7 separate regions of the Mus musculus genome follow, and regions 1, 2, 3, 4, 6 and 7 are each reported to be linked to region 5. Evidence: microRNA targets listed by miRTarBase, many of them from high-throughput screens and not tested one by one. Region 5 holds a microRNA gene; each other region holds the end of a gene's coding sequence. Distances are from middle to middle.
The links. Region 5 holds the annotated microRNA mmu-miR-3470b (UCACUCUGUAGACCAGGCUGG, at 1,864-1,884, opposite strand). A microRNA usually pairs through its seed, bases 2 to 8, with sites in the 3' UTR of a target mRNA and lowers its output. Matches are read on the target gene's strand: a 7mer-m8 pairs with bases 2 to 8, a 7mer-A1 pairs with bases 2 to 7 and ends in A, and an 8mer does both.

Region 1 (4,059 bases), not on the chromosome of region 5:
TTTTGGAAGATAATTTTAAAATTATATTATCAAACTTGCTTTCCATCTATCCTCTTTTTTTTTCTCCAGCGATTAGATCACCTTAAGGTAATCACCAGGTAATTTCTTTTTCTTTCCCCGTCACTCCAGCTCACAGAAACCATGACTGAGAGTTTGGGGATCTGTTTTTTGACAGTGATTGGTCCTACTTTACCCAGTGTCTGAGTTAAACACTGACAGACCAGAAGTTAAAAGCATGCTTCTGCTGCTCTAGTCAGTGCCATTCATTGCATCACTTTTTGACTGATGTCTTACATTTTGTTGAAAAGATTCCAAGAAACCAATCCTTATCCTTTTTCCCCTCCTCTAGCTTGTATATAGTGGATACAGCAAAGAAACTCTGAGGCAGAGAGAACTTCAACTGAGTGTACTCAGTGCAGAATCACTGCGGGAGAATTTCTTCTTGGGTGGAATAACCCTGCCACTGAAAGATTTCAACTTGAGCAAAGAGACAGTTAAGTGGTATCAGCTGACTGCGGCAACGTATCTATAAACTTCCGACTTCTGAGCTTTGGAAACAAGGAGTTATAAATGTGTGCGCATGCGCACATACACACACTTGGGAACTTTGTATAATTTCATACTTTGGCAGAAATTATAAACTTAACATGTTGGACCAACTGTCAGTCATATGACTAACTTTTATAGAAGCCATTGCTATTTCAAAGTTATTTTGTTGAGTGCTACCAATCCCAAACTTAATATATACTAAGTCCTGAAAAAGACTTTGACATAATACTGTGTCATTTTGGTCACCTTGTCTGTACTCTTCCTACACAGACACAGCAAATTGTTTTTTGTTATGCACCTCACAGCCTTTACCACTGTGTATGTTCACAGACACCAAAGGAAAGATGCAGCTGCTACTCAACAGGCTGAAACGCAAAGCACAAATAGTAGTCAGAATGCTGAGAACTACTAAGTCGTTTATAGAATAGAAAAAAATACGATTTTTATTCATTGTTAAAGCCTTTTCAGAGTAAGTGCCAATGACTGAAGTTGTAAATAACAGTGCCTTACTTAACTACATGCTTCACTGGCACTCTACTTCTGATTAAAGAGCAAGTAGTTTTCATGCATTTTCACCTTACTGAGGACAGCAAGTCATGCACATTTACTAATGGTTTCTCCACAGAAATACTATTTCCTCTACTTCTGGTTGTTTTCACTATTAAGCTATTTAACTTAATGTTTATTGCCCCGTAATTGAATGAGATTGATATTCAAAATTAGTATTCTAAATTCTATCATTCCATTATCATTTGTAAGGGTGTGAACTGAAATTGGAGTTTCACTTCCATGTATTTATACTTTACTCCCTCATTAAACAAATGGAAATTGTTCAGCCTTATTCCCTATTTTGTTTGGTAACGTGCTCAGGCAGGATAAGGAGTTTAATTTAGACATTTATGGAAGGTGTTGTGTAAACTGTCCTGTATTTGGAAACATTGTACATTCACATGAAAGAATTATTTTCTGTAATATACTGAAATGAAAATTGCAAGAGAGAAGTGTGAAGTTACTGTGGAGTAGCCATTAAGAATAAGATTCATTTTTAAAGCCAGGCATGGTAGCACACGCCTTTAATCCCGGCACTTGGGAGGCAGAGGCAGGCGGATTTCTGAGTTCGAGGCCAGCCTGGTCTACAGAGTGAGTTCCAGGACAGCCAAGGCTACACAGAGAAACCCTGTCTCAAAAAATAAAAAAAGATTCATTTTTATTCCCCATTTCAGACATAATTTTGTTTAGTTTTGATAAACATGTATATATAATAAATTTCTTGGTTAGAAGTTCAAATATTTTTAGAAAGGTAATAGAGATGTAGCAAATTTGGTAGTTAAGAGAAAACTGACAAACTACTTAATGAAGGGTACCAAGAAAGGACAATCGGATTCAGTTCGCTAGAATAAAATTTTTATGAACTGTACAAAGTGATTGACAGAAATGATGATGCTTACAGAGTTAAATTAAGAGTTAAGAGTGTTATCATTGGAATACATTTTTTAAAAAAAATCAAAACTTGAAATATTTGGTGCCTAACACTATGGTCCATTTGTAGGGAAACCTGTATGAGTATGTGAATTTTTTATATTAAACTGTGTTGTCTACTTGATAATTGAAATGAAGATCTAAGCACCGTTGTTTGCTTTTTCCACAATTAACATTTCCTTAAATAGTTTTGCAGATGTAAGTAGCACTAGAATATTTTTTTTCTTTTGAGAGAAACCTAATTCCATTCCATGGGTCACCCAGACTTAAAAAAATGCTGTTTGTAAAAGGTCGTCATTGACTGGACTCGTGGACCTTTTTGTGATCTGTTACCGTGTATCTTAGCAGAAACAGAATTAAAAATGTAATGTCACTTCAGTGACAAGAAATCTGATTAATATCTAAAAGTATATATTATAAGTAATACTGTATAGTTAACAAGAATTCAAAAGGTGATACTGTCTCTTAATTTTACTCAATTTGTGCCTTCTTTGGTCATTAGAATACATATATTTTAATGTAAGTTATTTCTTTGTAAAATGCTAATCTTCAGCCCATACCAAAAAAACAGTGATAGGGAGGAAGAACGTAGCCTCTGTGCACTGCGGCTGCAGTCACCATAGTCAGCTGGCTTCTAGAGCTTCTTAACAGTCACCTTAAAATACATCGGAAAACGAGAACGCTAGACAGGCCAAGACACTAATGTTTATGTATATCATATTTATAACTACCTTCAAGTAAAAATAAGTCTGCTACATACAAGTCCTGTGCCAGAATTCTTTGTTCTTGCCAGTGCTCTAGGATCTGAAGATGATCGCTCATCCCAAGAACCTGTTTTCTCTGAGGAATCCAATGAGACTGGCACCAATGCTTTATATTACTGTGTTTATGGGAATGAGTTGTTAAAGCATGTGTATCTTTTTTAAGTACTTTTTTTTCAAATTAAAGTTGTATATAAAGTTCAAAATCTTGCCTTAAATTGTTTAATTCTTTCTAAGACTCATGAATTGTAACATTTAAAAAAATTCACTTTTGATAACTCAGATTTAAACAAACACTGAAGACCTGCTATTATGATACACATTTACTTACACGCTGTTCACCAGCAATGCAAACATACATGTGATTACTAGTGTCGCCTGTAAGAAGAAAATGCTTTAATTATATCAGCATAGTGAGTTAAGATGTATAATATTTTTATTAATACTTGGAATATATTCATTGAATTAAATGTGACTTCATAACTATACTACAATTAAAATATTTCTGAAATAAAGGAACTTGGCTGTCATTTCCTTCCTTCTTGATTCAGTATTTTGGTTTTAAACTTTAATAATTATTGCATCTTACCCAGGAGTTTGTAAAATTTATCCTGAATTTGAATGTGATTCTTTGAAGGTCTAGATAATCTGCTACAGCCTATCATTTCCTGAGATGTGAATTCTGTAGGCATGGTTCTTGGTCTGTGAAAGTTCACTTAGCCACATTCGGAAGTGCAAATTAACACCATACCTTTATTCTGGATTATGAGCACAAGACTGGCTCTCTAACCATTCTAATAATTTGGAAAAAAAAAAACCAGTATAAAGACCTTGAAAGGACAATTAAGGGGCTGTTGAGATGGCTAAGCGGCTAAGGGCACTAGCTACTCTTCCAGAGGTCTTGAATTCAATTCCCAGCAACCACATGGTGGCTCACAACCATCTACTAGAGGATCTGATGACTTCTTCCAGTGGGCAGATTTATATGCAGCAGAGCATTCATACATTAAATAAAAAGCCTCTGGCTCCCAAAATCTTCAGAGAGAGAGATGGCTTATGTAAGCTTATCCTTTGAAATAACTGAGTTTTGCCTGAGTGCCAAGCTGTTTGCCGGTACTAGAGTTCAAACTATTGCAGGTAGTGGGCTAGAGAGATGGCTTAGTGCTACAATGGCTTTCTGTTGTAGAAGACTAGAGTTTGGTTCCCAGTACAAAGTACAAGTGCTTATTACTCTAGTTCTTACCCAATATCGTCTTCTGGCCTCTGGGCA
Region 2 (4,067 bases), not on the chromosome of region 5:
CATAGGCACCCCTAACATGGTCTTGTTTCCTTTTACCACGATCAGGCCCTGTAACACCTCACCTTAAGGTTAATGGAACTGCGCACGCGCGGAAGCTAACACAGATGCTCTCCTTGTGGAGACGCTAGCAACCCCAGCTTTCAGGAGGAGCGGTGGTCTGAGCTGGGGATGGCTCCTTGACATGCCTAATCCTCCTACAGGCTTAGATTCCCCACATTTCTGCTTGGCCATGTTCATTCACTCTGTGGCCCTCTGCCTCCTGCCTTCCCACCTGCTCACCTGGTTCAGCTTTCTCCCTCTAGCATAAGCCCCGGAACGGTGCTCAACGGTTGTTCAGTGTGCAGACGCGAGATTAGGTAACAGAGTATCCAATCAAAGAGGCTATCTCCAAAGATGACCAAGCACCACGTTGGTTTCAGGACCCCTTCTGCACCCCACAGGCAGTCTCGGGAAGGGACACATGCTGAGCCGTTCCTGTTTTTTTTGCCCACAGCTGACAACGGGAGCTGGTGTGAAAGGCAACTGTGTGCTTGTGACAAGGAGGTGGCCTTGTGCTTGAAGCAAAACCTGGATAGCTACAATAAGCGCCTGCGTTACTACTGGCGGCCCCGTTGCAAAGGCAAGACTCCAGCATGCTAAGGGAGTCCACTCTGTCTGTCCCCTGGATTCCACCCTGTCCTGGGACATCTCAAGCATTGAAGTCCTGCAGCTTGCTGCCTCCCACTCTGGTGTCTAGTCTCCTGGACCAGCTGGCTTTTCAAGGTCTCCTTGCAAAAGGGCCTGGCCTTGAGGACTTCCTCTTGGTGCCTTTCTACTGTAAAGGACCCTTTTGATCTTTCTAACGGTGACACTCCTCTCCCTTCAAACTCTGGTCTTTCTGGACCAAGGTCAGAGCTCAGCCCTCTGATGCTGTGTTCTCCCCCAACTAAGCTATGAGACCTCTAGGTTCAGCCCTGCCCCATTTCAGATTCAGTGGTACCCTCTGGTGGTACCTTGATTCAGGAGTCCCCTAGAACCAAGCCCATTATGGGCTCCAACAACAACGGGATTTAAGGGTGGGGGAAGTTGCAGTCTTGTTGCACTCGGTGGGTCCTGGAGCTTGGCCTGCTGTTTCTTGCCCGTTGTGCTTTCGCTGGGATCTCTTGCTGCATAATAGCTCAGGCTCCGGGGCCGTCCTTTGGAAGCCTCTCTTGGCTAGCCATTCTCCCCAGCGCTAAGGACATCATTGGGCTGGACTGTCTGGGTGGCATCACAGCCCACATTTCTCCTGAGACCAGGATGATAGATGTTCCAGTACTTTGTCTCATCCCAGGCCTGGTTTCTTTCTCTGGAAACTTTCTCCAAAGAGCCCTCTTAATAAACAACTTTCACAAGAGCCCCTGACTCAGGCTCCACCTCTGGGGAAACACGTTTTAGCAACATTTATAAATTCCATGACCTCTCTCCCTCCCAGAACCACCGGCCTAATTACAAACCTCAGAACTTTCCTTAGCTGCTGCAGCTAAGGAAAGTGTGTTCATTAGTGGCAGATTCAGGAGCCAGAATTCTTGGAAGATCAGCTTCCCATATGAACATGGAAGGGGGACTAGGGTTTGAGGGATAGCTTTGCTGAGTATCCTTTCTGGCTCAAACTGACCCAGCCTACCTTCATCCCTGCAGCTATTGGCATTGAAGGGACTCTAGCTAGCCTAGACCTGGCAAGCATGGCTCTGGCAGGCCTTCCCCTTTTCCCCAATTCTCTCTGCCTTGCTAAAACAAAACAAAACAAAACAAAACAAAACAAAACAAAACAAAACAACAACAAAACATTAGATTGCATTCCTAAAGCTAGCCCCCAAAGTCTCTTCCCTTATTTGGCCAGTTTCTCCTCCTTAGGCTGACTACCAAGGTCCCCTATCAAAGTATTGAAGTCCAGCAATCAAAGGCCCTCTTTGAGGCCGGGCAGTGGTGGTGAATGCCTTTAATCCCAGCATTTGGGAGGCAGAGGCAGGAGGATTTCTGAGTTCAAGGCCAGCCTGGTCTACAGAGTGAGTTCCAGGACAGCCAGGGCTACAACAGAGAAATCCTGTCTCGAAAATCAAAAAAAAAAAAAAAAAAAAAAGGCCCTCTTTGGTTCACCCAATACGCCCAATCAAAACATACCAAGGCACCCAGCCCATTCTAACACAGACCTCCCCTTTTCCCGATTCTTATAAATTACACCTGCAAGGTCATTTGCTGCTGTTTTTCTGTCTGAGTCAGAAAATAGCCACTTTAACTTTTCTTCACCGCTTAATAAAAGGTCTCTCTGTGAAAACCGGTCTTTGGATGTGATTTGTGACTAATTCAGGGTCTGGGAGGGAGCCCCACTATGAGAGGGTCTCCTTCAGGGGTCACCAAGGTCCCCATGGTTGGCCGAGCTGAAGTAGCATCTGAAACAGAACATAGGTTGGCAAAAGGTATCCCATCCAGCAGGTCCGGCAGTTATTTGCCTGGCAACAACTGTTTCAAAGAACATCTGTTATTCTTGTGTGAATAGCTGTGTTTCCAACCTCAGGGCTGAGGGAACCAGAACCGCCCACACCCTCCAGCTTGTGACTCAGCATAACAAGACAGAGAAGTTTTCTTAAAACCCCAGTGAGGCAGAGTACAAAGAAGTCCCCGCTATGGGCTCTGGGTTCAAATCCCCACAGTTGAAATGCTCATTTTAGTGGGGGTGGGGGGTGCGAGAGCAGGAAACTGTGCTGGAGACGGAGCTTATAATGAACTTAAAACCGTCACTTTATTTATTTTTAAAGTCTGCTGAGAAAGACGTCCAGGCTAGGCATGATGGTGTCTAAGTCTGAGACAAGAAAATGACTAAAAGAAAGGAAAGAGAAAAAAGAGAAAAAGAAAGCAAGGGGAGGCTGGAAATTGGGGGTATGGTGGGGGTAGGGTGAGGAGAGCTTGGCTCCCGGCTTGCCTCTTTGGTGGCTTGAAGATGTCTTCAGAGCCTGGTTTCTCTCCTGCCCCTGGCTGGGCTACGCTCACTCACTTTGCCAGTTTTCCTCCTGGGCAGGCTCTCCGTGGCTCCAATAGCAGCCATGGTTCTCCAGACCTCTAGACACTGAAGTGGCCTGGCCTCTTCCACCACAAAGCCAACTTCCCCTAGGGACGAGCCCCCCTGAGCCTGAGCTAGCTTAAGAGAGGAGGGATACCCTGGTTGGTTTAGACTTCCATGAATTTAGTTGTCCCTGAGAAGATGTGCAGATTCCGCTCGTGGTCCACACTTGGATGGTCTGCGGACATCAGCTTTGAAAGCCCGTGCCTTGTCTAGAGCAGTTACAAAGTAGCAGCTCCCTCTATTGAGCAAATGCTCTGGCCAGATGGCAGAATCTTACTGCGCACACACACAGAAACCACCTTGTTCAGCAAGAGACGCAAGGCACAAAATGATAAATACTTATCTCATGCCTGGGAGAGAGTCTTGCAGAGGAACTACAAGGTAAATCAGAAAGGGGTAAGACATCAGCCATATTAATCTGGAGATGTAACTCGGACAACAGAGTGCTTACCTAGCATGTATGAAACCCTGGGTTCAACCCTCACCAACAAATAAAATGAGGTATTGCAGCGCACAACCGTAATCCCAGCACTCTGGAGGTAGAGGCAGGAGGATTAGAAGTTCAAAGTTGCCGGTTGTTGTTGGTGGTGGTGATGGTGGTTCACACCTCTAATCCCAGTACTTAGGAGACAGAGGCAGGTGGATCTCTCTAATATTGAGGCCAATCAGATCTAAAGAGTGAGTTCCAGGACAGCCAGGGCTACACAGGAAAAACCTTGTCTTGAAAAACCAGAAGGAGGAGGAGGAGGAGGAGGAGGAGGAGGAGGAGGAGGAGGAGGAGGAGGAGGAGGAGGAGGAGTTGTTCAAGTTCATCCTTGATGTACTGGCTGGTTTTGTGTCAACTTGGCACAAGCTGAAGTTATCACAGAGAAAGGAGCCTCCCTTGAGGAAATGTCTCATGAGATCCAGCTGTAAGGCATTTCTCAGTTAGTGATGAAGGGGACAGGACCCATTGTGGGTGGTGCCATCCCCGGGCTGGTAGTCT
Region 3 (4,067 bases), not on the chromosome of region 5:
ACTTTGTTCTTGTCACCAAAGCATGTTCTGGTTATTGTTAAGTTTCAGGCTCTTCTCACTGCTAGATTTACATATTTCAATAATTTGTTCTTCAATTTTCCCCAATCTTAGTTTCAGGCATCCTCCAAGAAAGGTATCAGTCGACTGGATAAACAGATGAGAAAGTTCACAGATATCAGGAAAAAAAGCAGATCTGCACATGCAGTGAAAATCAGCATCGAGGGCAATAAAATGCCATTGTGATCTTGCCTGGGACGTGTCCCCATCTCTAAAAGAAAGAAATGCACAGTGGACTATGGAGAAAGAAGATAATTTTAAATGTCTTAGTGTGTCTCTAAATGGTTCGATTTGTATCATCTGTTGTTGTAGGACTAACATTTCTCTCCGTTGTATTTAAGACCAGTTGTCTGCTTTGTACAGAAGAGTACTTACTACTCCTGCTTCTATCAACTGTACGTAATAAAATTTCATTATGGTTTTGGGGGGTTGTCTCATCATTGTCTTAGACACTATTCTCTGTGAGATCAAAAGCCAGTCCGTTTCAGTGTGTAAGTATGATATGAGGAATTTGTCTGGCCTTTGTTCCTGGCTCCTGACAAGGAATATCTCAAACCTTTACAATTCTTGAACTATCTTTGTTATACTCTTGATTTGGCACATCGTAGGGCCCTAAGTTCGCTCTAAGACTGGTCAGCAGAAATATGCTTGACCTAGTCGTATTGCCTGTTTGATTAACCAGCCATACCTTTGTATTGAAGCTATAGTAAAGAAAAGAACTCTGGACAAGTCAGGTGCCTTGCACACCTATAATCCCAGCATTTTGGAGACTGATGTTGAAATAAGAGGGTCATGAGTTTGAGGCTAGCCTGGATTACATGGCAAGACTCTTAACTGCTCTGGATACTGCAACTATGTTGATGTGCAAAGAGAACAAAGGCACAGAAGCTCTGCACCACCCTCCATACTACTCCTGAATCTTCATTGACCTGGTTGGCTTAATTTGTATCTTTTCTAATAAGATCAGTTATAAGTATAACCTTTTATTGAAAGACATAGTGCTTTTCCAAGTTCTATGAGTCATTCAGCAGGTTTTTAAACCAAGAAATTCTTGGGAACTTGCCTGGAAGTTTATAGCTACCCTGGAATTTTCATGGTCTAAAGATATCACTTGCAGTCTATGTCTGAAGTTGGGACAGTCTTGTGGAGGAAATCTGATCCCTAGAACTGTCAATTCTTACACTAACACCGAGCATTTGGTATCAGAATTGTGTTGTATACCACTGTATATGCCTATAATCTCAGCACTTTGGAGGCAGAGGCAGGAATTTTGGGAGCTCTTCCAACAATAACTTTGAGTTACTCAAAGACTGTTCAAATAAAGATGGTATCTCAGTAGAGTTGGAAATACAACAAGCATACTTTTTATTTCTCTTGTTAGAGATGCTTTGTTTGTTTAAATCTGAAGAGTTAAGCTGTGGGGAGAAAAAGTTAAGAAAATACAGATATAATTGAAAATTAGTTACATATAGCAATTGGACAAATAGAAAAAGGAGAAACTATTTATAGTTTCTTACTTGGTTTTGAGAATTCTTAATCATGAGAGATTTCTATAGATCAAGAAAGTTTTATCAGTAACTCATTCATTACTTAAGTCCTCTTCTAGTACAAACTGGAGCCTTGATTTAAAAAAATAGATTATTATTGGCCACAATGGCCTTTGGACAATTGAAGGAATGTGGACTTCATGGACTAGAACACTCCATAAGAACCTCTCAAGCCTGGTGTGGTGACACACACCTTTAATCTCAGCATTTGGGAGGGAGAAGAAGGCTGACCTCTGAGTTCATGACCAGCCTGGCCTACAGAGTGAGTTCCAGGACAGCCAGGGCTACACAGAGAAACCCTGTCTTTTAAAAAGAGAGAGAGAAAAAAGAAAAGAGCCTCATAAAGCCTCATTAAAGTACACTCAGCATGCAAGAGCAAATGGAGTGTGAAGCAGAAACCTACAGAGCCAACAGTTACAGACTAGGTGGTGGCAAAAACTACCTCTGGCTTTGTTTAATTTCATTAACTAAAAACAATAAAAGCATCTAATGAATTCAAAACAGTTCTGACATGTAAAGCAAGTTTTTAAGAGTTATTTTGGTGTCTTGGGATGAGCTTCACGTAACACCATGTTAATGGGAGTAAATATAACCAGCAGGTGATAAGCCCTTGATTGAAGGAGATGGTTCTGCACTACTTGAAGGGAAAGATGCTAATTTCTTTATAAATTACCTTTGCTGTGTGGATTGGGGGGGGGGGGTCCCCAAGCTTGACCCATTCATTGCCTTCATAGTTTCCATTTACTATAGTTTCTAGAACACTAAAATTAGCTCCCATTTACCCTTCAATATTTTTCAGTGTGCCACATTTTATATTCTATATCCAAGATTTCTTTTGCAGAGCATGTGAGTATAGTTTATCAAGAACCTTTGTTCTCAAGCTCCATATCTAAGCATATTTCTCTTAAAAACATGTTTTGTGGCGGGGCAGTGCACATCTTTAATGCCTGCATTCGGGAAGCAGAGGCAGGTGGATCTCTTGAGTTTGAGGCCATCCTGCTTTGATTGCATTTTAGGTCAGCAAGAGCTACACAGAGAAACCCTGTCTGAGAATAGAAACAACCCATGGTTTTTAGGGGCTAGATCATACAGCTCTGTTGGTAGAGTGCTTGCCTAGCACGCACTAAGTCTGGGTTCCATCCCCAGTACCACAAATATCTGGCCTGTCACCTTGCCAACCTGGCCTGGCTACATGGCAAGAACAAAGCCAGCCTGGGCTACTTGACAGTTCGTCTCAAGATTGGCCACATTAACTTTGACCTCTTGTATGGAATGCTGGGTAGTCACTTTTTGGTTTGGGTTGTTTTTTGGTTTGTTTGTAAAATGCTTTAATTTTGGCAAAAGATTTGTATCTTTACCACTTTTAACCATACAGCTTAGGTGCATTGACTGGGTTCACAGTGGTATGAGCCACCTTCATCTTACAAACTTTAGCTGTACTGGGCACAGTAGTGCACGTTTTTAATCCCAGCACTAAGCAGACAGAAGCAGGACAATTTCAGAGTTCAAAGTCATCCTAGTCTTTATAGAGAGTTCCAGACCAGTTAAGACTTGCATAGATCCTGCCTCAAACAACAAACACCTTAGCTCCTTCCACCAGCTCTTGACAAGTTCATTCTGCTTTCTGCCTCTGATTTAGACTATTCTAGGAACCTAGAATTTAATTTATGGGGGGAGGGGAACCATGGTATGCATATGGAAAATCACAATTTTATGGAGTTCTTGCCTTCGACCTTTATTTACTTGGATTCTAAGGATGAGACAGGTTGCAAGACTTTAGTGGCAAGGATTTTGACCATTTGAGCTATCTCACCAGCCTGTTTCTATGTATAGGTGATAATGCTTTGCCTTGTGCTTTTTTAAGTGACTTTTGTAACTTTGGCCCTACTGTTAAGTCTGATCCATTTGAGATAATTTTATGTTGTAGAAAGTTTACTTTTATTTCTGTACATCTTTGTTGAAAGACTGACCCTTACTGCTCTTGGATCCCTTATCAAAACGTATCTGACAGTATGAGGGTTTTCTTGTATATTTTGCTCCAGACTTTTAGTTCATTTTGTTTTGTTTTATCCTCATTATCCTGTTTTTACTTCAGGAACTTTATAGTAAAATTTGAAGTCAAGTAATATGATTTATTCACTCCAGTATTGTTTTGGTTGTTGGGATTCCTTGAAATGAAGGGGAAAGTGTGTATGAATATGTACGTGCCTGCCCCACAGCTGCATGTGGACGTCAGAAGACAACTTTCAGGAATAGGTTCTTCTTCCCCCTGAGTTATGTGGCTTGCACTGCCCACACTTTTACCTGAAGAGCCATCCTTCTGGGCCCCTCCACTTTTCCATTCGATATGTTTGGACTCTGGGCTTCTTTGAGGTTTTGTATGACTTGTCTGTATAGCTGTCATTGGGTTTTCAACAGAGATTGGGTTACATTTGCCTTTTGAGGAAGTCCTGAGTTTTAACA
Region 4 (4,067 bases), not on the chromosome of region 5:
GTTCTTTCTTGAATTTATGAATAGGAAAAGTCTAAGTAGCTATAAGTAGACAGTGTCAGGAGACAGCAACCAAGCAAAGCTGTTGGTGCTGCCTGCTGTCCACATTCGGATATACTTCAGCCTACGGTGGGATCATATTCTGAGGAACTCATCTCAAATGGAGGCATTTTAAATAGAAAGTGCATTTAACGATAATAGCTGGTGTGGCACAGTAGCGTGTGTGAGCTCCCTGGTAACCCTGTGGGAGCCGGGAGCTCTGGCTGCTTTACAATCATACCTCACCCAGAATTTTGCTAGGAAAGATCCAATTTGAACTTGCTTTTGTGTCACTTGAAAGGTTTTTTTTTTTTTTTTAAGTGGCTGTACATTTATTAGTGGTTAGAAATCGCCAGGGAGCATGGATAAGCATCTTGATTCCAGAGGTGTGTGAGGAGGATTCGGTTGTCATGACAACTAGTCATTTCCATGAAATGCCCCTAGTTTACTGAACTATGAGGAGCTTTGATAGAAGCTGTGCTTTCTCTTAAACACTTCTCCTTTTGCTTTATTTCCAGACTTCCAGTCAAAAGCGGCCCCTGGAACTGGAGGTGGAGGGTATGCCGAGCACAAAACGCCTGTCTGTGTGTGGGGCTGTGTTGTGAGCTTTGAATGTGAAAGAAATGTGCTTCCTTCCACGCTCCAATTGTCTTCTCCATCTTGACATCTTTTTTTTATATGTATATATTTTTTAAAAAATATAGCCAGGCAGTTGTGGCCCACTCCTTTAATCCCAGCACTTGGGAGGCAGAGGCAGGCAGATTTCTGAGTTCAAGGCCAGCCTGGTCTACAGAGTGAGTTCCAGGATAGCCAGGACTACACAGAGAAACCCTGTCTTGGAAAAAAAAACAAACAAGAAACAAAACAAAATAGCCTATATGATGGAACAATTGCTTTTCCATCACAGATACACGATTAAAAAACGTGGAAATCTGGGCTGATTGTTTGATGACCTGCACTTTAGATTTCTTTCTTTCTTTCTTTCATTTTAAGAAAAATGTTAGGGGGTGGTGTTGAGAGATTAACACCACTCCTGTTGAGGGCTGCAGTTCAGTTCCCAGCACCCATGTAACTACATTTCTGGATCGGATGCCCTCACCTGGCCTCTCTGGTCACCTACTACACATGTGTTCATGTACACAGAAACACATAATCATTAAAAAGAATATTCTAAAACAATGTTAGTAGTTTGTTGTGGCTTTTCATCTGGATCCTCACATTGCCAGTCTGCCCTATCAGGATGTCACTCTGGTTTTAGGCTCATCCGTCTAAATACAAATTCTAAAAGTCCCTTAGAAGGTCCAAGTCCCACTGGCCATGGTAATCTACACCTATGATCCCAGCACTCTAGAGGCAGGACAATGTTTGAGTTGACTTTGAGGCCTGTCTGATCTTTAGAGCAAATTTTAGGACAGCCAGGGTACACAGAGAAACAATCTCTTTCTCTAAACTTTCTCTTTTATCTTTAAACTCTTTTTTTCTCTGTCTAAACTTTTTCTCTGTCTAAACTCTTTCTCTCTCTCGTTTCTCTATCTCCCAACTTTCTTTTTCTCTCTCTAAACTCTCTAAACTTTCTATTTCTAAACTCTTTTTTTCTATCTCTAAACTTTTTCTCTGTCTAAACACACTCTCTCCCTCTCTCTCCCTCTCTCTTAACTTTTCTTTCTCTTTCTCTAAACTTTTTCTCTTTTCATCTCTAAACTTTTTTCTCTCTCTAAACTTTCTATCTCCAAACTCTCTTTTTCTCTCTAAACTCTTTTTCTCTCTCTAAACATACTCTCTCCCTCTCCTTTTCCCTCTCCCTCTCCCTCTCCCTCTCTCTCTCTCTCTCTCTCTCTCACACACACACACACACACACACACACACACACACACACACACACACACACACTCAGTCCCTTGGAAAGAAAAGGGCATCTGGATGTTGGGTGATTTGTACTGGCTGGCTGCCAAGGAGCCCATGGTGCTGCTGCCTGTTATAGGCCAGTCTGAAATTCATATCCCTTAGGGTTCTCACACTCCTGTAATCCATCCCAGACCTTGAGAAGCAGAAATAGTAAGATATTGACTTTGAGGGCAGCCTGAACTGTATAGTGAGACTTTTGCCTTAAAAAATGGATAAAACACAGAAATTATGCTCAGTCCTGTACAGTTTACATCTCTAAACTCCTGGGGCTACATTAAATTCAGATATTAATATCTCCCCCACCCCCACCCCACCAACAGTTTTAGGCAGGTGATAGAGTGCTGCTTTAAATTGGGTCCTCCAGCCATCCATGTGGTAGACATATAGAGAAGTAAGGGGGGAGATAGAGATGTCTCTCTAGTGGTTAAGAGCATTGGTTGTCATGCTGTCACTGCGGGTCATGTCTGGGTCTGTGGTCATGTAGTAGCAGGGGCCTGTTGATTTCTTGGATCATATTACTACATAGACCATGCAGACCTCCCTGGTCTGGGCTGCTGTGTGGGAGAGACCTCATAGATATCCAAGGGCTGATATCCAGATATCCAGAGCTGGCCCCACCCCTGACTGGCTGCAGCAATCAGGAGAGCAGGCCTTCCACCTTGCAGGAGCAGCACAGAGCTGGCCCCACTGCCATGATGGGACATGGGTGCAGTGGAGATGCCCTCCCCCATCCCTCAACACCTGAGGCAGGTCCTAGGTCATGAGAACAGGCAGGACTTGGGAGAGTGGCCTTGCACCTTGTCTGGGCAACAGCCAGCTCTGAGGGAGTGAGTGGGAGAGCTGGCCCAGCCCCTCACTGCCAGCTGCAGTATTGGGTGAGCTAGCAAGGGCAGTGCTAGAAAGCTTGCCCTGGTGGTGCAGATATGAGAGAGCTGGTGGGCTAGCCATCTGTCTCAGCTACCACCCAGATCCAGCGCTTTGAGTTGTCCCACCCCAAAATCTAATTCATCTATGAGCTGCTGGAGCATGTGCAAGGGCTGGTCCTACAGATCCAAAGCTGCAGGATTTCCATGATCCAGGCCAACAACAGGATAACTAAGAGGAGTCCTGTGAGGATCCAGTATTGATAGTGTTGCAGAAGCAAGAAGACTCAAACCAGACCAGTGACTAAATGCAATGAACATTTGCAAGATGTGTGGACAAGAGGGTAGGTATACTGTAGAACACACCCTGGCACACTATAGTGTCCGTGTCAAAATGCTCTCCATGGGGTGTGTTTGTGGGGAAGTTGCAAGGGAAGAGGGGGATGTGAAGGGACGGGGAGATGAGTGAGATTGGGGTGCAGGTGCATAATGTGAGACTCACAAAAATAAATAAATAAATAAAAAGTTGAAAAGCATTGGCTGCTCCTCCAAGAGCACCTGAGTTCAATTCCCAACATCCTTATGGTACCTCAAAACTGTAGCTAAGCAGCATGGTGGCGGCCCACGCCTTCAATCCTTGCACTTGGAGGCAGCTGCAGGTGGATCTGAGTTTGAGGCTAAGCCTGGTCTACAGAGTGAGTTCCAGGACAGCCAGGACTGAGAAACTCTGTCTCCATAAACCAAACATTAAACCAAAACCAAAAGCAAACTCCATCTTGAGTTGAACTCATCTTAATTTTGAGACCTTTTAAATAAAAAAAATGCATTTAGTAATATTCCAATAATGCACACAGAGCTCCCCTGGAAACTCCATCCATGATCACAGTGCTGTCTGCTATGACAGAGGAGGCGGCTGCTGTTGCAATCAAGGCCATGGCAAAATAACTGGCTTCCAGGGTGGTGGTGGTGGTGGCAGCAGCAGTGATCCATGAGCCTACAGAGGCCCCTCCCCCAGTCAGGTTCTGCTCTGGCTGGGACCTTGGCTGGACTCCTGTTCAATTTATTTGATGTTTTATTATGGTTTTCCTCACCCCTTCAAACTGTCGGGGAGACCCTGCCCTTGTCCTAGCTACCTTGTCCAGGAATGAGGGAGCCATGGCCTTGGTGAAGCTACCTGCTTCTCTCGCAGCCCTGATGGGGGCAAAGGGATTTGGGTACTGATGTGTTAGAATAGCAGCTAGTGTCTGACATTGCTTACCAGG
Region 5 (4,067 bases):
AGTTGCATGTCTTTTACCGTTAGGAAGCTGAGTGTTCACCACCAAGTCATTTGTTTGCTTTAGTTTTTATCTTCGGAAACGTCTATTATTTCAAAAAAAGTTTTTGTGAACGGTTAATAATCTAACACAGTTGTGCTGAAAAATCGCCTTCTTCTGGTAAAGCTATCTAACCATCCTTTTGCGATATGAAAACGGTTCCAATGATGATGTCTCTGGAAGACTTAGTTAATTCACAGTATGAATTATTGTTATGAAAACAGAATCCACACAGAATCTCTGGGGTAGAAGGCGAGTCCCTTTAGGACCAAGGACAGGAGCATCCTTAACTGTCACTAATGGGCCTTTATATTTTTCTTCTCTGGATATTCTACTTGAGAAGACTTCATCCGCTAAAAGGACAGTTGTAGGAAATAGAGAGCATCGCAGAGTTTGTTTTCTAGATGTGTGATTTTTCAGTTAGAGTTCTCCAACCTGGGATTTCTACTCCGCGTTCACATAATCAGCTGGAAGCAAAGAGGCATGTTTTTCTTAGCTTGCCTCCTTTATTGCAGGTTTTTGAATATTTTTGACATTTTTGAAGTGTAGATAATGACATCTGAATTGTCATCAGCTGGTTTTGTGGTCATCTTGGCAAACTGGGATATAGCTGCCGCAAGTCCAGACCATTTTCCTTTTAAGCTCCCTGGTTCCATGAAGTGTAAGGAGAGTCATCTAGTAAAAACCAGGACACAGAGCTGCTCCTGGGAGGAGGGAAAGGCGGTGGTGGTTGTTGTAGGGGCTGAACACCGGGGCTGAATTCAGGGCCTTTATACATTTGGCCCCATTATATATTTTTACATTCAACCTCTTAACTTTGAAACATTTCTCTGATTGGGCTAGGAGATGACTTACTTGCTAGCTTCATAACTAATGTTACTTCTGTCCATCTCTGCCCTCCCTATGGGTTGGTCGTCTTCTCTCCATCTCTTCTAGTTTTTCTTCACGAATCCGTCTGTCCTCTAGCTTACCCAGAAGCCTATCTCCTCGGTGGAGCCTCATCTGGCCACCTTGGTCCTCAATAATATTAACTCCTTTTGCACTTCCCTATCCCATAGACTCTTCCAGCCCATTAGCACATGATCATGTGCATCTGATTTAAGAGTGCCCTGTATCCTTCAGACATGAGTACTAAATTCGGAGATTGTTTTTATACCCTTTGGATCTAGAGCGGTGCCACAGGTTTCATTCCCAATAAAGACCTGTGGAATGGATGGAAGATCGTATTGACAGTTGCTTCAAGTACCATGCTGTCTCTCTCTCTTGTCTTGCTTAATCATGTAATTAATTGCAATGTTCCCGGAGACCAGTCTGTTACTATGATATGATGTTATTTTCCCAAATAGTTTACAGCTTGCTTTATTTGGTGATTAAGGTTTTTTTTTTTTTAAGTGGGTCGGTGTGTGTGTGTGATGCCCATGGAATCCCGAAGGGTGTGTCAGTTGGAGTTACAGATTTACAGATGTTTGTGACTTGCCTCATGTGGGAGCTAGGATGTGGCCACTGGTCCTTTGGTGGAGCAGCAAGCACTCTTAACCACGGGTACATTTCTCGGCTGTACTTGGTAACTTTACCACTGACATGCTGTCTATAAAGGAAGCAAGCTAGAATTTACTAAAAGTAAATTAGTATTCTGAAGGTTGTTTTCTTGCATTTTATATTTTAGGAAAATGTAATTTGGAGCTCATTGGTGTGCAAAGTTCTAAAAATGCTTAAAATATTCAGATACAATCGTGAATTAGAAGTTTTGGTTCTCGGGCATTGGTAGCGCATGCCTTTAGTCCCAGCACTCGGGAGGCAGAGGCAGGTGAATTTTTGAGTTCAAGGCCAGCCTGGTCTACAGAGTGAGTGCCAGGACAGCCAAGGCTACACAGAGAATCCCTGTCTCGGAAAAAAAAAAAAATTTGGTTCTGAGTTAACATTTAGGACAACTCTGAATTGTGATCATAGGTTGTATGGATTTCAGATCAGTAATTAGCAGAAATGATAAGTAACTTACTTTTATAGAAAAAAAATCACTTTAAGCATCTTTACTGAAGTGTACTTCTGCACAGTAGCCTCTTTAATACACACTTTGAAAACCCACCATTTTCTAAGTGGAATGTGCCTTTTAGTTTCAACTTCTTTGGAGAATAGCTCAAGCCCAAGATCGGCCTTGAGAATGTGGTTAAACCCTGTGAGAAACGATTATCTGTTTATCGATTTAACTCTTGGTTTAATTATTTATTCTTACATTTTTGCCTACATATAGGTCTGTGCACCACTCGTGCGCCTGAGATGGCCAGAAGATCCCCTGGAACTGGAGTCATAGGTGGTTGTGAGCCACCATGCAGGTGCTGGGAATCAAACCCAGGTCCTCTAGAAGAGCAGCCAGTGCTCTTATCCATGGGACTTCCTCTTGAATGTCTCTTATCAAATGGGCATATTTAACCTTTCCTTTTCAGCGATGGGGATGGAGCTCTGCAGAGCCTTGTGGATGATATGCAGTTCTCAACCACTAAGCTATTATGCCCAGCTCCCATTAACCCTTTTTTTTAAAAATAGAAAATAGGGAGACAAATAGGCCAGGATCTATCCGAGCCACACCTTGACTGCTCACACCACGGCTCCTCTGACTTTGGCCTTTGTGCTTTGAATTACAGTTACGTTATCTGTTGCATTTTCCAATAGTCACGCAATGTTTCTGTCATCTTAGAGCCTGACCAGACAGGAGTTCTGGCAACTGCTCCAGCAGAACTATGGCACGGAGCTAGGCTTAAACGCTGAAGAAATGGAACACTTGTTATCAGTTGAAGAAAATGTGCAGCCAAGGTACAGTGAAGCAACGTAGAGTGTCAAGGTGCATTATGGCCCATCACAGTGGGATCATTGTAGGTCGTTTCAGTTCTGAATTTCTTTGAACTCATCGTTTGGTGCGGTTTGCCCTCTTGTTGGTAGAGTGCAAGTTGGGAGAGAAGAGACTCATTTGCTAAGTTGGTAAGCACGTGTGGGACGTGAAGAAATGTTAGAGATGAGGCTATGACTCTTAGAATTTACTACTAGAAAGCCTTTTTATTAAGGATCTGGAGCAGGGGCTGGTGAGATCTCACAGGAGACACTAGAGCAATTTGAGGGTTAGGGTGGTTTCATGACTTTTCCTCAAAGTCTCCCTAGCACCGTGGCATGTGTCCCACATTCAGTAGACACCGATCACCTTAGTCAAAGGAGCTGACCGTGCCGTGGGGGATGCAAGCAATGGTAATGTCAGGGTCATGTGCTGCTATAGTGTGATAAAGAAATTAGTAGAGAGATTATTTGGACAGCTGTTCATTAAGAAGTGTGAATATTTTACTAACTCTCCAAGTTAAAAAAAAATGTACCTTATCAATGTTAATTGAGACCATAGCCTCAATAAACAAAGATAATACATTAAAATTCTGTAGCATTTTACATTAGGCTAAATGAGAGAAGCCAAGATCCAAGGACCATTTGCCTTTTTGGTTGGTTGCCTATCGGGTAGCGGCTGAGCCATCTCTGCAGCCCTCCAAATCTTATAATGTAAATATGTTGAAAGTCTGAATACATACACAGACGCTCCTCTCCTCTGGGCAGTCTGCTCCAACCTATGTTGTCTCAGTTTACATCAATATTTTTATAGTCTTTTTTTCACATGGCTACCCATGCATATTTTATAACTTTCCTGTAAAGTTCACATTTTTCCATTACCCTGCTGTCATTAATAAAGTTTACTAGTAGTCCTTAGGTACCGAAAAGGTGTAGAAAATCAGGTTACTAACGCGGAGAGCCTTGGGACCTTGAGAGTCAATAGGATCTGGATTGTGCTTTGTAGCTGAGATATCTCAGGCAAACCTTTGGACATTCCCAGGCCTCAGTTTCCCCATCTATGAACAGTTAGATTCAGTGGCCTTCAAGGTCTCTGCTGACCTGTGAACTTCGTAGCGTCTGAAGCAGGAAAGAATACGTATCTAGACCGAGTCTCTCATGCACATTGGAGGTCACCAGTGAAGCTGTCTTCTTCTCCGGGTGACTGT
Region 6 (4,067 bases), 8.1 Mb from region 5:
GACTAATATATGGTAGCAGAAGTCTTAGTTATAAAGGGTCCCAAGATGGTGGGAGATATATTCCAGGAAATCTGACTGAATTCCTCTACCTCTGGCATCCAAAAGAAATATATCATGAAGCCTTTTCAGATCCCCCAATTTGAAAAGCCCACAGGGGCTGGAGAGATGGCTTAGTGGTTAAGAACACTGATTGCTCTTCCAGAGGTCCAGAGTTCAATTCCCAACAACCACATGGTAGCTCACAACCATCTGTAATGGGATCCAATGCCTTCTTCTGGTGTGTTTGCCCATAAGTGTATGACTACTACTGCCTCTGTAGAATATGACAGTTATAACATTATGTGCATCAGTACTTAGAATAAGTTAAGAATTTAAGCAATCTGTCTAGAAAACAGATGCTGGTCAGCCAGCCAGGCACTTGGATGACTAGATATTAGTCACTGTCTGGATTGCCGGAGAATGTTTGGAACCCAGAATACTAGATGCTCAAATGTAAGTAGTACCTACAGTTTTTGTTGTTGTTTTGAGGCAAAGTCTCCTTATGTGGCTCAGGCTGGCCTCAAACTCATAGAGCTCTGACTGTTGTGTCACCTGAGTGTTGCGCACCTGTGCCACAATAACCAGCTGTCATACACATTCTTAAGAATTCTTTGGGAAGAAGCTAAAGTGTTTCTTGTTTTCTTCCTGCAGTTTTGGCTACCCTGATCCTGATTACCTGAAACGTGTCAAGGAGGAGCTGAAAGCAAAAGGCATTGAGTAAGGAAACTGCAGGGAAGATGTCTGTCCACTCTCAAAAGACATGTGTCAGGAGGCTGGATAGTACAGACCAAAATCTGTTTCTAGAACGACTTTGTAACATTTTTCATGTTAAGTAGTCTGTTTGCCAGTCTTTTCTAGAGTGGCTGGCACTCTTTCATGGAAGGCAAACTCTACAGGCACAGGTTGGGGGGAATGGCCCTGTCTACAAAGCATGAAGAAATGAGCTCAGATCTGAAATTATCCATGGAAAAGCCTGGTGTGTTGGCATGCACTTGTAATCTTAGCACTGGTGAGTAGAGACAGGAGGATTCCTGGAGCTTACTGGCCAACTAGCCTAGTTAAAACCATGAGCTCTGGATTCACTGAGAGACCTTATCTCAAGAAATAAGGTGGATCGGGACATGGGGGTGCATGCCTTTAATGTCAGAACTTGGAAGGCAGAAGCGGGCAATCTCTGAGTTCCAGACCTCACCTGGTCTACAGTGTCCAAGTCCCAGGACAGCCAGCTATACATAGTGAGACCTTGTCTCAAAACAAATATTAGGAAGACAGAAACAAATATATCTAACATCATCCTCTGTTCTGCATACACACCTACACACACACACACACTGGGGAGCGGGGAGATAGAAAAGAAAACTTTATAGTTTTATAGGATTTCAATTTTTGCTGAAGAAATCTGACGTCATTCTTGTGTTACGGTTGGGGTGTTGGGTGAGTCTGTAATCATCTTCTATGTCCTTACATAATGGAACCTTCCCTGATTTTTGTTTGCTTTGTTTATTTGAGACAGGGTCTCACTGCATAGCTCTGGAACTCAATTTGTGGACCAGCTTGGTCTTGAACTTAGATCTGCCTATATCAGCCTCCTGAGTGCTGGCATTGCCTGGTTTTTTGTTTGTTTGTTTGTTTGTTTGTTTGTTTGGGGGTTTTGGTTTTAGCTTTTTTGGTTTGGGTTGATTTGGTTTGGTTTAGTTCGGCTTGATTTGATTTTGATGTTGGAATTTAAACCCTAGGCCAGTGAGTTCCATCCCATAATTCTTTTTCATGTCCATCTCTGTAGCAATACATTAGTTGTTTATTTTTTAATCTCTTCCTGAACCCTTGTGTAAGTGGGAAAGTGAAACCCTTGTATAAATGGGAACTTTAAAAACAGGTTTGGCAGCCGGACGTGGTGGCGCACCCCTTTAATCCCAGCACTTGGGAGGCAGAGGCAGGTGGATTTCTGAGTTCGAGGCCAGCCTGGTCTACAGAGTGAGTTCCAGGACAGCCAGGGCTATACAGAGAAACCCTGTCTAGGAAAAAAAAAAAAAAAAGACAACAACAACAACAACAAACAGGTTTGGCTGGAAAAGACTCATATTTCCTTCCCTACCCATAGCAAGAGAAGTTTCCAGGAGATGAGGCAACTTTTGGTAATAAATAGAACAAAAAGACTTATATTTTTCAGGACACAGAGCCTAGGAGATACTGTGTGACTACTGCCTGACTCAAGATGCTAGTAGCTCAGCAGAGGAGTGAATAGATAAAAAGATATGTTCCCCAAATCTTCGGGAGAGAGATGACTTGAGACCGTGACATTCATTTGGAAAATAGTTTTCTTACCCCAACTTGTACTGATTAGACACTGACTAAGCCTTGAATTTGGGCTCTACTCTCCCCTGATCCATGGAACCTGTCCTAGAGGATGCACTTGCCCTGCCACAGAAGTGCAACATAGTTTTTATATTCTTCCCTACACATTATGTTGTACTTTTAGAATATATATTGTTTCAAGTTTTAACGGGTAAATAGCCTTCCCTTAGTTTAATATTTCACAGTATTTGCTACCTGCAATGTAGTGGCTTTTTGTTTTTTAATCCTTTGAGCGAATCCCAGCAGTCTGTTATCTCATATATAGTCTTTCTAATCCTTTCCCTGGACAGGAGTAAAGGAGAAAGTTCAACCTACTGTAGAGTCTGGATGGCACATCACAGTTCACTGTAAGTGGTTCTCCAAGTTAGAAGAAAACCACAGCAGGCAATGACCTGGTGATCTGTATTCCAGCCACTCTCCAAAATGGTAGATGACACCCTAACCTTCTCCTTAAGACACATATGCACATACATAAAACCATTTTGGCCAGATATTAATAGGAAGTATTAATCAAGTACTTATCCTGTAAGTACTTAACATTGATGGGATCAATCTGATTAATAGCTCTATTCTTTGAACAGAAAACTCATATACAGAGCACAGTAGTCAATCACTGAGGGTGACATAACCAATAAGTAGAAGTGCTAACTTTTACTTTCATCCCCATTTTGGTTTTTTTGTTTGTTTAGATTTTTTTTTTTTTTTTTTTTGAGCCAGGGTCTCATGTAACCTAGACTGGCCTCTCCCTATGTAGCCAAGGCTATTCTTGAACTCTGACCCTCCTGCCTCACCTCCTGCCCAGGTTCTTGCATGTATCCTAGGCAGAGCTCTCAGGATCTGCTTCCACAGCCTTCCAAGTGCAAGGCCTGCACCATCATAGCTGCCTTCTGCATCCGGTTCGGACCTTTCCCTTTGGATGATTCACCAAGTGTTTATCATTAAGACCAACTGATCATTTTCTGTCTTCTAATCTTGTAATCAAATTTACTCTAAAGAAGAAAAAAATGGTTTCTGTTAAGTTCTGGATCTTTTATTTCATCCAGTGTGCACATGCAAATTCCACGTGGTGGAGGGCTCAATGACATTTGGATTTTTTTCTTTTGCAAGGTGTTATTATCTGCATTAAATAAAGTCAGGTCCTTACATACAACAGACTGTGTGGTTTCCCTCATTCCTTGTTACTGTGTCCTTAGGTTGGACTTCTGGGTGTTTCCTATGACACATACAATATGCAGTGGTGTGTGGAGGTATTTAGGTTGGTGTTTGTGTAGCTCCAACATCTCAAAACAACTCTTTTAATTGTTTTCACTTTTGATTGAAAAAAAAATCATTTTTCTCCATATTTTTTCTGCCTAGTGAATTTAGGTTGCTATAGAGACAAAAGTAGACCACAGAGCCAGTGAGCTAGGTCCGAGGGTAAAGGCACTTGCTGCCAAACTTGACAACCTGGTTTTGATGCCTGGAGCCCACAGAGTAGAAGGCAAAAACCAGCCCTTGCTAGGCACCCCTGACTGGCACATGCGTACCATGCCACCCCTCAGTAAACAAAGGAGTTTTACTTTTATGCATGTGCGTGTTTTGCTCACAAGTTTGTGTGTGCACTGCATGTATGCAGTGCCCGAGAGCATCTAGATCTCTTGGAACTACAGTTATAGACAGTGGAGAGCTATCGT
Region 7 (4,067 bases), not on the chromosome of region 5:
ACTCATTGCTCTTCCGAAGGTCCCGAGTTCAAATCCCAGCAACCACATGGTGGCTCACAATCATCCGTAATGAGATGTGACTCCCTCTTCTGGGGCGTCTGAAGACAGCTACAGTGTACTTGCATGTAATAAATAAATAAATAAATCTTAAAAACAAAACAAAACAAAAAACTAGACGTTGGGCCAGGCATGATGTCCCACCTACAAATCCAGAACTAGGCAGATGAAGCCAGAAGGGTCTGTTCAGTCAGCCTGGACTACACAAGACTTTACTGTGTGAAAGGAGATTTCAGTGGAGCTAGCTGCCTGCGAGTTGTATATCCATAGTGCCGAGAGAGCCTCTAAGCAACCCCAGGAGGCTCACGGGCTCACAGGGCTGATTTGGGTGGGTTCCTTCAGTTTGCCATCAGTGCAAGGTGAACAGATGTGTGCTCATGCCTCTCCAGGAAGCCAGGCAAGAAGTGGTATGAAGCAGTTAATAAAATTCTCCCAGTGCTAAAACCCAATTTTTTTGGCCTCACAGGTGTTACACACAACTGCCCACCTTCTCACCAGGACACAGCATGCAGAGAAGTTTAGTAAACTGGGATTGAAGTTATGTGGAGAGTGCACCATCTTGCTGTTACCACGCAAGCCCAGCTTGGTTAAATCCATTAGCGTTGGGGCTGGTGAGATGGCTCAGTGGGTAAGAGCACCCGACTGCTCTTCCGAAGGTTCAGAGTTCAAATCCCAGCAACCACATGGTGGCTCACAACCATCCGTAACAAGATCTGACTCCCTCTTCTGGAGTGTCTGAAGACAGCTACAGTGTACTTACATATAATAATAAATAAATCTTTAAAAAAAAAAAAAAAAAAATCCATTAGCGTTATTCCTGTTGAAGCAAGTCATAGGGGAGCCCAAAGGTGGCTTTCTGAGCAGTGCAAGGCCTATTGCAGCCTCTTAGAGAGGATATGAATGACTATGGACAAGTCCACCACCACACCACGCCCCAGTGCTGGTGATCACATGCCTATCTCTTGAATGGTACAAGCTGTGTTTTATTACAGTGTGAGACTTATAAAGAGTCTGGAAAATACTTGGATTTATAACCCACAACTGAAACAGCAAACCCTAGTAAACAGAGCCAGTCTGGCTACGGGAGAGGGGTGGCGTGAGGCTGTCTGGATGAAGCAGCTTAGGGGAGGCTTTTGAGTTGTGTGTGCGGACTCAAAGCAGGAAGCACATGTCAGTACTGACTGCCATCAGACAAAGCTGGTCTCTGCCTCCATCCCGCGGAAATCCAATGCAAGGACGCAAGCTTCCTTGTAGAAAGGACCAGACATCCAAAACAGAAACGGGAGGCAACTGGGGAGATAACTGGGGCACATGGAGAAAGGAAGAAAAACAGAGTCACCCACACCAATTTTACCATCTCAAAAGACAGAATATGAAAGGAAGCAGCAAAGCAGCATCCATCAATGCAGTCACCTCAGCAACAGGCAAGCACTCCTTAGCTTCCCATGCTGATCCCAAGAGGCTCAATTTTGTTTGTTTTTTAAATTTGTTTTATTTTTGTTTTCCATACAGGTTTTCTCTGTGTAGCCCTGGCTGTCCTGGAACTCACTCTGTAGACCAGGCTAGCCTCAAACTCTGAGATCTGCCTGCCTCTCTCTGCCTCCTGAGTGCTGGGATTAAAGGTGTACACCACCACCGCCCGGTGGGGAGGCTCAACTATAAAAGCCAAATCAGGCCCATCTGCGGGGTCTTTTACTGTAGAAGTAAAGGAAGCTTGCTGGTTTCCAGTGGGTTACTGAAGAGGAAGCCAATATCATACTGGGTAACCTGCAAGGCCTCGTGACCTGTGACCTTTGCAAATTTTGTTTTGAGACAGAATTTTTCTGTGTAGCCTTCCTTGGCTGTCCTGGAGCTCACTCTGTAGACCAGGCTGGCCTTAACTCAGAAATCCGCCTGCCCCTGCCTCCTGAGTGCTGGGATTAAAACGTTTGAGCCACCACACCTGGTCTTTGCTGATTTCTTAATGGGGCTACGGTGACTCCACAGCCTCAGCCTCAGAGGATGCATCAGGCTCTCAAAGCACTGCTCCAGGGTAGAGACTGCCAGCTGCTCAGCCCACGGAGGGACACTTGCCTAGAGTCTGAGCTCCGGCTTTCAGTTTCCCACCCAAGAATCAACCGGACTGCGGCCCAGGAACTCGTTTGCTTCGCAGGACTTCCTTCCCAACTCCTCCTGGGCTTGGCTGTGAGCTCACAGGGCATCCTGGTGGGACTGACAGTGGTCACAATCACACAGCTACAAGACTGGCTTTATCTGACAGTTTCTCTAACCTGTAACAAGGTTTGGTGGCATACACTATAATACCAGGAGACCAGGGCAGCAAGATCCCAAGGGTAAGGCCAGTGCGGGTACACTGAGCTCCAGGCCAGTCTGAACTTGTGAGATCCGGTCTCCAGCAAGCCCCCACCCCTAGGCGGTGGGTGATACTGCAGTTGGACATTGGAGGGAGAGACAGCAGAAGAGAACATCTTCAGCTTCAAGGCAAATCTGAGGCTGGACTGGGCTACATGAGACCCTGCTTCCAAGAAAAAGTAGGGGTACTCAAGTCCTGTGGAGGTTAGGGGTGTGGTCTCTGGAAGGTTGACCACATTCCTCCAGTGGAAGATCCCACACCATGAATATACTGACAGCACAAATGGCACTTAGTAGGTTATTTATTTAAAAAGAAAAAAAACAAAAGAGGGCAAGAACCTGGGAAGTGGGTACGAGGGGAGGTCTGAGAGGGACTTGAGATGACAGGAAATATAGAAATGTACTATGTGCATGTACGAAATTCTCAAAAATAAGTATAAATTATATATGTATAATACATATTCCTCAGAGTCTAGCCAGCCATGTCAGTATATGCCTCTCATCCCAATACTAATGAGGCAGAGGCAGGGGGATCTCTGTCAGCTCAAGGCCAGCCTGGTCTACACAGGGAATTCCAGGATAGTCAGGATTACACACTGAGTCCGTCTCCAAAAGGAAAATGACATCAAATCATTACTCGCCAGAGTCATCCCCACTCACTGGCTCATAATCTAGAGAATTCCCAGACAGGCTATGGCCTAATTTGCACAAGACGTAGCTAGGCACAAATCACACTTTTAATAATGCCTCAACCCAGAGAGATTACATCAGGCAGCCAAAGCGTCTCTTCCACCTCGATGCCCAGGCTTCGACCATTCTTCTCCAGATCCTTACACTTAAGGGAGCCTAGAGAACGAGGAAACGCCTCCAGGCCCAAGCACGGGGCCAGCTGAGGCAGCTTCCTGCAGGCAGATCCCAGGAAACAGTCATCTCTGGAGAGGAATAATGTTGCAGCTGTAAGAGAAAACAGAGACCGGCTCAAGCCTGACAGCTCCAGCCTAGGAAACCTGCAGGTGAACACTTCTTCTCTTTTAAAGACTGTTTGGTTTTGGTTTTGGTTTGGTTTGGTTTTTGTTTTTTCGAGACAGGGTTTCTCTGTGTAGCCCTGGCTGTCCTGGAACTCACTTTGTAGACCAGGCTGGCCTCGAACTCAGAAATCCACCTGCCTCTGCCTCCCGAGTGCTGGGATTAAAGGCGTGCGCCACCACTGCCCGGCTAGAATTGTATTTTTTAATGTATATTTTACAGTGTTTCATTGTGTATATAAGAGAGTCTGGGTGTGTGGCACGCAGAGCCTGCAGGAGTCAGTTCTCTCCTTCCACCAAGTGAGTCCTGGGATCTGACTCAGGTCAGAGATTTGCAGAAAGACCTTTACCTGCTGAGCACTGGTCACTTTTCTTTCTCTTAAAGACAATGCCCAGGGATTGAGAAGTGAGACTCTCAGGTGACCTGAGGACTCTTGCCTGTAGCCTCATTCATAAAAACGGTTATTAACCACCAGTTTCTGCACTCTGGGGATGGCTATCCTTTAGTGGACCTGAGTGTTCTATCTGAGCACACTCTCTATGGGTACCAGCATCCCCAGCTCTATCTGAGCACACTCTCTATGGGTACCAGCATTCCCAGCTCTATCTGAGCACACTCTCTATGGGTGCCAG

Region 1: miRTarBase lists Pik3c2a as a target of mmu-miR-3470b. Seed matches in the 3' UTR shown: 8mer at 1,686-1,693.
Region 2: miRTarBase lists Pla2g2d as a target of mmu-miR-3470b. Seed matches in the 3' UTR shown: 8mer at 2,024-2,031.
Region 3: miRTarBase lists Iws1 as a target of mmu-miR-3470b. Seed matches in the 3' UTR shown: 8mer at 1,863-1,870.
Region 4: miRTarBase lists Chek2 as a target of mmu-miR-3470b. Seed matches in the 3' UTR shown: 8mer at 827-834.
Region 6: the mRNA of Dtx3l is a reported target of mmu-miR-3470b. Seed matches in the 3' UTR shown: 8mer at 2,010-2,017.
Region 7: miRTarBase lists Psmd9 as a target of mmu-miR-3470b. Seed matches in the 3' UTR shown: 8mer at 1,911-1,918 and 8mer at 1,603-1,610.

The regions. Positions count from the first base shown.
Region 1 is chr7:116,336,514-116,340,572 of GRCm38, reverse strand. Pik3c2a (phosphatidylinositol-4-phosphate 3-kinase catalytic subunit type 2 alpha) reads left to right here. Exons shown (of 33, transcript NM_011083.2): 33 at 350-3,297. The coding sequence ends at 532. The region is part of intron 1 of Gm10589 (a long non-coding RNA gene); the gene reads right to left. Among named protein-coding and RNA genes, the nearest start is that of Rps13, 4.4 kb to the right of the region's middle.
Region 2 is chr4:138,779,755-138,783,821 of GRCm38, forward strand. Pla2g2d (phospholipase A2, group IID) reads left to right here. Exons shown (of 4, transcript NM_011109.3): 4 at 494-2,298. The coding sequence ends at 639. Gm32871 (a long non-coding RNA gene) reads right to left here and starts at 610. Exons shown (of 3, transcript XR_390866.3): 1 at 280-610.
Region 3 is chr18:32,097,039-32,101,105 of GRCm38, forward strand. It overlaps Iws1 (IWS1, SUPT6 interacting protein), which reads left to right. Exons shown (of 14, transcript NM_173441.3): 14 at 112-4,067. The coding sequence ends at 243. Among named protein-coding and RNA genes, the nearest start is that of Iws1, 31 kb to the left of the region's middle.
Region 4 is chr5:110,872,926-110,876,992 of GRCm38, forward strand. It overlaps Chek2 (checkpoint kinase 2), which reads left to right. Exons shown (of 15, transcript NM_016681.4): 15 at 555-1,215. The coding sequence ends at 641. Among named protein-coding and RNA genes, the nearest start is that of Ttc28, 4.8 kb to the right of the region's middle.
Region 5 is chr16:44,011,702-44,015,768 of GRCm38, reverse strand. Mir3470b (microRNA 3470b) reads right to left here and starts at 1,917; the gene lies at 1,792-1,917. Gramd1c (GRAM domain containing 1C) reads left to right here. Exons shown (of 17, transcript NM_001359085.1): 6 at 2,732-2,847.
Region 6 is chr16:35,925,992-35,930,058 of GRCm38, reverse strand. It overlaps Dtx3l (deltex 3-like, E3 ubiquitin ligase), which reads left to right. Exons shown (of 5, transcript NM_001013371.2): 5 at 691-3,544. The coding sequence ends at 760. Among named protein-coding and RNA genes, the nearest start is that of Parp9, 10 kb to the left of the region's middle.
Region 7 is chr5:123,247,589-123,251,655 of GRCm38, reverse strand. Psmd9 (proteasome (prosome, macropain) 26S subunit, non-ATPase, 9) reads right to left here. Exons shown (of 6, transcript NM_026000.2): 6 at 1,530-3,363. The coding sequence ends at 3,336. Among named protein-coding and RNA genes, the nearest start is that of Wdr66, 4.2 kb to the left of the region's middle.